Linked DNA regions of Daphnia pulex. The protein of the gene in region 1 interacts with the protein of each later gene in a pairwise test. Links are inferred from orthologs where the notes say so. Each region holds a gene or a part of one and is shown in the gene's direction. Other genes may lie near its edges.

The links.
Region 2: the proteins of guanine nucleotide-binding protein G(i) subunit alpha (region 1) and regulator of G-protein signaling 12-like interact in a two-hybrid assay, tested with the Drosophila melanogaster proteins (2 studies listed by BioGRID). The link is inferred for Daphnia pulex from reciprocal best matches to the Drosophila melanogaster genes Galphai and loco.

The regions. Positions count from the first base shown.
Region 1 is NC_060020.1:3,522,467-3,526,829, reverse strand, and holds the start of guanine nucleotide-binding protein G(i) subunit alpha, read left to right. Parts: upstream 1-1,404; 5' UTR 1,405-1,527; exon of another isoform or gene 1,528-1,851; intron 1,852-1,951; 5' UTR 1,952-1,974; coding exon 1,975-2,095; intron 2,096-2,165; coding exon 2,166-2,353; intron 2,354-2,414; coding exon 2,415-2,486; intron 2,487-2,548; coding exon 2,549-2,763; intron 2,764-2,833; coding exon 2,834-2,928; intron 2,929-2,993; coding exon 2,994-3,182; intron 3,183-3,252; coding exon 3,253-3,443; 3' UTR 3,444-4,363. UniProt on the Drosophila melanogaster protein: Guanine nucleotide-binding proteins (G proteins) are involved as modulators or transducers in various transmembrane signaling systems.
Region 2 is NC_060017.1:5,048,706-5,052,290, reverse strand, and holds part of regulator of G-protein signaling 12-like, read left to right. Parts: coding exon 1-373; intron 374-552; coding exon 553-886; intron 887-1,419; coding exon 1,420-1,674; intron 1,675-1,775; coding exon 1,776-2,006; intron 2,007-2,088; coding exon 2,089-2,370; intron 2,371-2,450; coding exon 2,451-3,065; intron 3,066-3,130; coding exon 3,131-3,461; intron 3,462-3,526; coding exon 3,527-3,585. UniProt on the Drosophila melanogaster protein: Acts as a regulator of G protein signaling (RGS).

The DNA.
Region 1 (4,363 bases):
TTTTTATTAATATTTTCAAGTTTTTTTTAAACATTACTTTTTTTTAAATATTATTAGGTTTTTGTTTTAATATTGGGAGAATTTCTTAAAAATTGATGACGATTAAAAAGGAATAGAGGACGAAGGGCTTCATTAAAAAGTTAAAAACCAATATGCGGAAGTGTGGTGGTGACTAACCTAAAAGACTTTGCACCCACACACCAGTCACATAAAAGAAATAATGGATGGGAAAAACCAACCAGCTGATGGCAACGGGCGCTATACTGCTGCCGCTGGATGAGAATTTCCTCAATTTCGAATGTACATACGAACGACTGACATATCCCAAGGGGGGAAACGCGACGACGCGGATCTCAGATTTCGAAAAAAGGATATTTTTCCGATTATCACTAGCCGCTATAGTATATAAAAGCGCCCTCTCTCTCCTTATATTCCTTTGACGTCATCATAGTGTTAAACAAGTACCAAAAGAAGCAACTGCGACGGGATCATCGCATGCTACATGCTGGTGGGATGGCTTTAATCGTTTTCTTCTTTTTTCCTTTTAACCATTTGCAACAAAATGTTAAATCGTAGCGGGTGGTCTAGCAGCCTCACTTCGATATGAATCACGTCTCACACAAGTTGTCGGCGCGTCTGTTTGTTTACAAGAGAGACAGCTCGAAGAGCGCGCATCTGTTTTAAAAAAAAAAAGAAAAAAGACCCAGAAACATGAATATATTCATGCTGCTGAGGAAATGGAGAAAAAGAAATCAGGGCGCGGCCTCGTCGTGTAAAGTTCCAAGAGATATACAAACGAAACGAGGGTTCCGGTTTCCTCATTGAACACACCAAAACCCAACGAAAAACAGGCAGAACACTGAACCGGGTAAAAAAAAGCGCATACCCATAAAAGACCGTGTGCCTGTGATGAAGTATTTCCGGTCGATTTGTGTGCTGTAGAAGCTCCTTTCGTCCCTTTTTCATATATACCCCCCCAGTTGTGAGTACAGCTCATCACCGACACAATGGAGGCTGGCCGTGTCAGGCCAACCGTTGTAGGAAACCGGTTTTTAATGTCCTGTAATTATATGCCAAATAAACAGGAGCGAATTTACAGTCTCAAGACGTTGATTTCATTTTTTTTTTTCTAAATTTATTTTCTGGACGAATACCATTTGTCAAAGCAACGCAGCAGGGAAGCGGCCAAGATCAGGGAATAATCAATCAGCAGTGGGAGCAGTGGGGGAAAATCAAAAATGGAAACGACGCGCTGAACCCCAAGAGTGTGGCGAATTCGTAACGGTTATCGGGCAACCGTCTATTCACACGACCGTGGCGTCATAATAGTGAATAAGAGACTCTATTCAGTCTACTATGCTGTAATGCTCTCTCTCTCTGCTGTGATTTGGGGTCGAGCAAAAAAAATAAAATAAGAAGAGGAGAGGCGGGTTTTGAGTGTTGAAGCTGCGTTGCCAAAAGCGGCAAATAAATATGGCAACGGACGGCAACGTTCGAGTTTTGCCCCGCCTTTGACTGCAGTGCAGCGTAAGTTGAGTTTTTTTACTGTTGGAAAAGAATCAAAAATGTCAAAACTTGCGTTTTGAAACTTGAAATCTTTTCCTTTTGACAAAAGAGACATCGAATATCAAATCGTTGTTCCGATCGCTCTTGTCTCACTTTTCGAATTACCATCGATTTTAGATTCACTCGAGTTCGTGACTTGGATTGAACTGTTGACACGACTCGGTGGCCGTTTGAAAGTTTTAACCAAGCTCCGTTACAATCAGACACCTCTCAAAGTTTAACCGACAATTTTTGGTTTTCTTTTGGATTTGTTTCCATTTTAGTTCACCTTTACAAACAATTAGTGTTAGTGACAGTTATTCCTTTTTGTGGTTTATACAGCATTTTAAAAATCATTTTGCTAGGCTTGGGTTTGATTAACAATTTCCACATTTTGTATTTGCAGGTTCGCTCAAAACAGTTTTCACCATGGGCTGTGCGGTTAGCTCAACAACCGACAAAGAAGCGGTTGAGCGATCCAAGAAGATTGACAAAGATTTAAGGGCTGATGGGGAACGTGCTGCACGAGAAGTCAAACTCCTGTTGCTTGGTGAGTACTTGATTGATTTCTCGCTCATAGTTTTTGTGGCATTCATTAATAATGCTGATTCTGTTCACAGGTGCTGGTGAATCAGGCAAAAGTACAATTGTCAAACAGATGAAAATCATCCATGAAACTGGATATTCCAAAGAAGAATGTGAACAGTATCGACCTGTAGTATACAGCAACACAATACAAAGTCTGATGGCCATCATTCGTGCCATGGGCCAACTCAGAATCAACTTTGCAGACTCCAGTAGAGCCGTGGTGAGTTATCACCTTCAATTTGAATACAGCCCTCAGGCGTTAACTGGTGCTTTTCTAATAGGATGATGCCAGGCTATTTTTCACACTAGCAAGCGCTGCTGATGAAGGAATGCTTACATATGACTTGGCTCAGGTAAGACGATCCATCTTTCCTTGTAAATTGAAAAATCCTAACTTTAATATTCTGTTCGTTAGGTAATGAAACGATTGTGGATGGACGGAGGGGTGCAGCATTGTTTCTCTCGCTCCCGGGAATACCAGTTGAACGATTCAGCTGCCTATTATCTCAACGCCTTAGACCGTATCTCAGCACCCAACTACGTACCTACGCAGCAAGATGTCCTGAGAACAAGAGTGAAAACCACAGGAATCATCGAAACGCATTTTTCATTCAAAGGACTTCGTTTCAAGTACAATCATTCACTTGTTTTCCATCATTCGAAAATCATAGAAACTCATCGAATTCATTTGAATCTACAGGATGTTTGACGTCGGCGGACAGCGATCAGAACGTAAAAAGTGGATTCACTGTTTTGAAGGAGTGACAGCCATCATCTTTTGCGTGGCGTTATCAGGTACGAAAAGATTCAGGCTTAATTTCCCCTTTTCTGTGAGCTTTATTGTTGATACTTTGCTCCAGGTTACGATCTGGTGTTAGCCGAAGATGAAGAGATGAATCGCATGATCGAGTCAATGAAGCTGTTTGACTCGATATGCAACAACAAGTGGTTTGTGGAGACCTCAATCATCCTGTTCCTCAACAAGAAGGATCTCTTTGAGGAGAAAATTACCAAATCATCTCTCACCATCTGCTTTCCCGAATACCCAGGTAAGTTTAATTGACTTAAGTCCTTTTTAATTTTCTTCAGAAACTAATTTGTGTGACGTTTGCGTTCAAGGATCCAACACTTACGAGGAGGGAGCGGCCTACATTCAAATGAAGTTTGAGAGTCTAAACAAGCGTCGTGACCAGAAAGAGATTTACACGCACTTTACGTGCGCCACCGACACCAGCAACATCCAATTTGTCTTTGATGCGGTCACGGATGTTGTGATTAAGAACAATTTGAAAGACTGCGGTCTTTTCTAATTCGATTCTGGGATGCCAGTGCACACCATCCCATCCCAGCTCTCTCTCTTAATCTTAAACTCTCCCCTCTTATTTTTCTCTCTCTTTATTATTGATTTTGTCTTGGATACCACAAACTTAGTCTGAAAATATCATTTTGTAAACTGTACGTTCATCGTCGGCCCGTAAAAGAAAGAAAAAGAAAGAAAGAAACGCAACACAAATTCGCTGTAAGCATCCCTCTCGTTGCGCTGGCCATCACGCACATAATTGCTTCCTCCCTTTATTCGATCGACTCGAAATTTAATCTGTTGATATTTCTTTTGTTTTGCTCGAGCAATGATATTGACACTAATATCCCTTTTGAAGAAAAAGAAAGAAAACAAAAAACGAAGCTCAACCACTCTTTGATTGCCATATTAAAACAAAAAGAGCACAAAACATTTCGAATTCTCTTACATTTTTTTCATACAAATTCTCCTGCCGTTCGGACGCGTTGAATAACCAAAATCCTCCCCATCGCACAGCCATCCTCCCTCCTCCCCCCCCCCCGTTTAACGTTAAATTGTTTGATCGTAACGCCATCAGAGAAAACAAAAGACTCTTTGCGTGACACGCCATCCTTCCTCTTTTATCTGCTTTTCCATGCAGACCATCTATTTTTTTTACTTGTTAATCTATGGCTTAACATTCCTTCACATGCCTGGGCCCTTAACATTTTTTTTTTCTTTTTTTCATTCTGTCCAGGTCTTTCCAGCTCTATTTTTGCCAACGACAGTCCTTCAAACAATTTCCGCTTCACATGCTCAACTACTTTTTGACTCGTTTTTTTTTTTTTCATTATTATTATTCCTATCCAAGATATTTGATACTCGGTCGTTGATTGATCGGTGGATAATTATTTTAGAAAATTGCTTTTTTGTCTAGATAATGATCGTCCT
Region 2 (3,585 bases), on another chromosome or scaffold:
ACGTGCAGCTACAACTGCGGCATCAGCAAGATCAGCTCATGTTGCATCACCAGCCCATTTCACTTCCGCTCAATGGCAATTTAGACCGGCTGACGGTTCGTGCCATGCCGGACCCTATGATGGCCATCAAAAGTCCAGGCGAGCTGGAACACGCCGCTCGGTTACGAAGTTCGATGCAGCGTTACCTGAACCAACAACAGCAGCAGCAGCAACAACAACCGCAGCCGGCCATGCTGTTGCTTAACCGCAATACGGGGACGCACCAACATGTTAATCCATCGCTCAGCGTTCGCGCAACTATGACGCTGGAGGAAAAGTTGAGCCCTCAAGTTTTCAAAGGCCGACCTGGCGGCCTACCGCACCCCGCCAACAGGTAATAACTCCATCGCACTTGGCAACGCCGTTGATTAGTTGAAATTGCTAGTAATCAAGTCAAAGAGGTCTCGACCGGGTTCACGGCCTTCGAACTGTTTTATTTCATGTTTTTTTTTTCTTTTTTATTTCATTTTGTTTCATTTTTTGGCTTCGTGTATTCTTGCTGCGCCCTGGCAGACCTGCTCGAACGCCGTCAGAACGCAGTCGTGCTCGCAGCCTGGACGATTTAAGTAAAAGCTGCCAACAGCAGGCCCGTATGCCGGGCGATCCGCCACAGCATCATCACCACCATCACCATGCTCAACAGCTGGGATCTGACAACGGTTTAGACAAGATCGATTGGGAGAATAGTACTCCTTTTGATCCTGTCGTGGGCTGGCACAGTTTAGCAGGCCAGTCTTCATCAGGATCCCCGCCGCGACAGAAACTACTAGCCAAAAGACTGGAATATAGAGACGATGGCAGTGAGGAAGAGGAAGAAGAAGAAGAAGAAGAAGATGAGGAGAACGAGGTAAAATATGGAATTTCTTTACAAAAGAGAAAACTTTTTGATTGATTAGAGAGTCCCGACAAAAAAAAAGTCGAATGGGTGGAGGGAGAGAGACGCCAGCCACAGTTGAGAGAGTTTAATAGGAATCCGAAGCAAAATTGTTTAAGTGTGTCTAATCAGGAAGAGTATCGTTAAGGCTCGACTGGAGCAAGCGAAAGGGATGCTGGGGCGTTACTCAACCGACCCCAATGGTTTTCTAGTGCGAAATAGATGGCGCTCTGATTTCTTTGGTTTGCTCTGAGCGGAGGAAAAGTCATTTCCCATTTTTGGTGGCCGACCGCTGCTCAAAGGCGGATGCGGTCGCCGCTGGGCGTGAAGTTACCCCATTCCTTCGGAGATTTTCAAAGTTTTTTCCAATGAATTTCGATACGGCACGCTCTATCTTTTGGCCGTCGTCTCGTTTCATCACCGTCAACGCCACCCGCAGTGCGATTGTTTGCTCTCGTGAGTGTGAGTCGATCATGAGAATAGCCCGAGTTTTCGATCTTCCCAAGGTATTGCCGCCGGCGTCGGATCAACGGTGCGGCCAAGATGAAAGACCCGGATCGACCATAGCGGCCACTATCGTCGCCTCGGCAACCAACAGCACCATTCTGGCTGGGACGCTCGAGAAACCCATTCAGCCCGACCAGCAGCAGCAGCCGCAGCCTCCTCCTCCTCCTCAAACTTCACAACCTCAACAACAACACGTTTGGATGCAGGGATTTGAGAAGCTCCTCGAGGACCCCCTGGGTCTGCGAGCCTTCGCTGTGAGTACCTTTTATTTATTTTCTTTTCAGATTTTTTTGTTCGTGATTTGAAACGATCGCTCATTGTGACGTTTTTGACCTGAACACACATGTGCACACAGGGATTTCTAAAGAAGGAGTTTAGCCACGAAAACATTTATTTTTGGGCCGCTTGCGAACGGTTTCATCGGCTCTTCCCCACCGAGGATACCACGACGGCCGCTTACGAAGCCCAAAAGATATTCGAACGCCACCTTGGCCCAGCCGCCTCTGAGCCTGTTAATGTCGACTCCCAAGCGAGACAAAAGGCTGAAGATAATCTATGCCAACCTAGCCTGGAATTGTTTGATCAGGTAAAATGTTTGTTTTGATGTCGTAAAAGTCTTTTTACTCAATTCCGTGTTTTTGTTCTTTTTATGTTTTTGTTGGTTTCAGGCTCAGAAACAGGTCTTCAATTTGATGAAATACGACTGTTACCCAAGGTTCCTTCGTTCACCATACTTTCGTGAATGTCTTCAAGCCATGCAACAGAACGAGCAACCTCCCATTGCGGAGCTGACCCTTAATGATCCTGATTTGAATATTGACTATGATTTCGGTGAGGGTGATAGCGATAGCTTGCGCAATTTGGCACTGAAAAAGAGTGGCAGCGATGCTGGTGAACGACGTCGTAGATCCTTGTTGCCTTGGCCCAAAAAAGATCGGTCAAAATCCAAGGTCTGTTCCCTACTGTTTTGTATGGTTTTCTTTGAAAGACAACGTTGTATGACTTTTTCTTATTTCAATTTTGTTTGCAGGATCGCGCTGAATTTGATTATAGAAAGACGTCCAAGAAGAAAAATCGACAGGGTAGTACCAGTAGCGGCCCAGACAAGGAAAAGGAGAATGCGACGGACGATGAAGATCTGTTCATTAAGAGAGCCGCATCCAAGGATTCGGTGGCATCCGAATTCAGTGACAAGGCTTTCCACATCCAAAACACTGCCAGTGCTGTGCCGCTGGTCAAAGTCCTTCTTCCCGACATGTCTTCTGCAGTTATTGCTGCCCGGCCAGGCCAAAGTGTTCAGCAACTTCTCAACAAACTTTTGGAGCGTCGTGGCTTACGCTTCAATGCTTTCGAGCTGTTTGACAGCCACCATTCCACTTCTATCGAGCTGGAACGGGACGCTTCTGTGGTCGGTGGCATGGAGATCCGCTTAGAACCCAGAGTCGTCTTCCATCTACTACTCCTCCAGTCGGGCAAATCGCTGATGATCCGTGGCCAACCCAGGAGGCAGCTAGGCGAAGTCGTTAAACCGATTCTCTTGAAATACGGCCTCAAAATTGAACAGTCGATTATCACTAAATCGACTACTGGGGATGTCGTCCAAGCAAAAACCATGTTAGCATCGCTGGATGGTTGCCATTTGAAGGTGAGAAAATGAGAGAGCTCGTAGCGTTCATACAGAGAGATTTCATGATTTTGTTATTTGTGTAGGTTACAAACCGAGACGAAGTCCATGAAGATTTTGGTGAAATGGACCGTGACGGTTCAGGTCAAGCCCATGGTGAACAATCTGATGAAGCGGAGGAACTTCCAATCAAAAATAGTGGAAGCCTGTTGGGGCGTAAAGGATTGAGTCGAAGAAATTCTCTTCAGACCGAACGGAGTAGAACGGTCTCAGGCAAAAAGCCCATGGCACCAACCAAAAGCGAAAGCACGATACAGAATCCGAACATGTCTGTCGCTAATAAACGACTTTCGCTCCACGATTTGCCCAAATCCAGTTCGACGGCGCATTTAATGCCTCCACCTCGAGCCCCACTCGGTAAACAGTCCAACTTTCTCTCGTTCTTATCAATATTCAATAACTTAAGACTTGTGTGTTAACAGGATCGAGAAAGTCCAACACCCAGCGTAACCCACTAACACGCCTGGAAAACGAGGCGCTC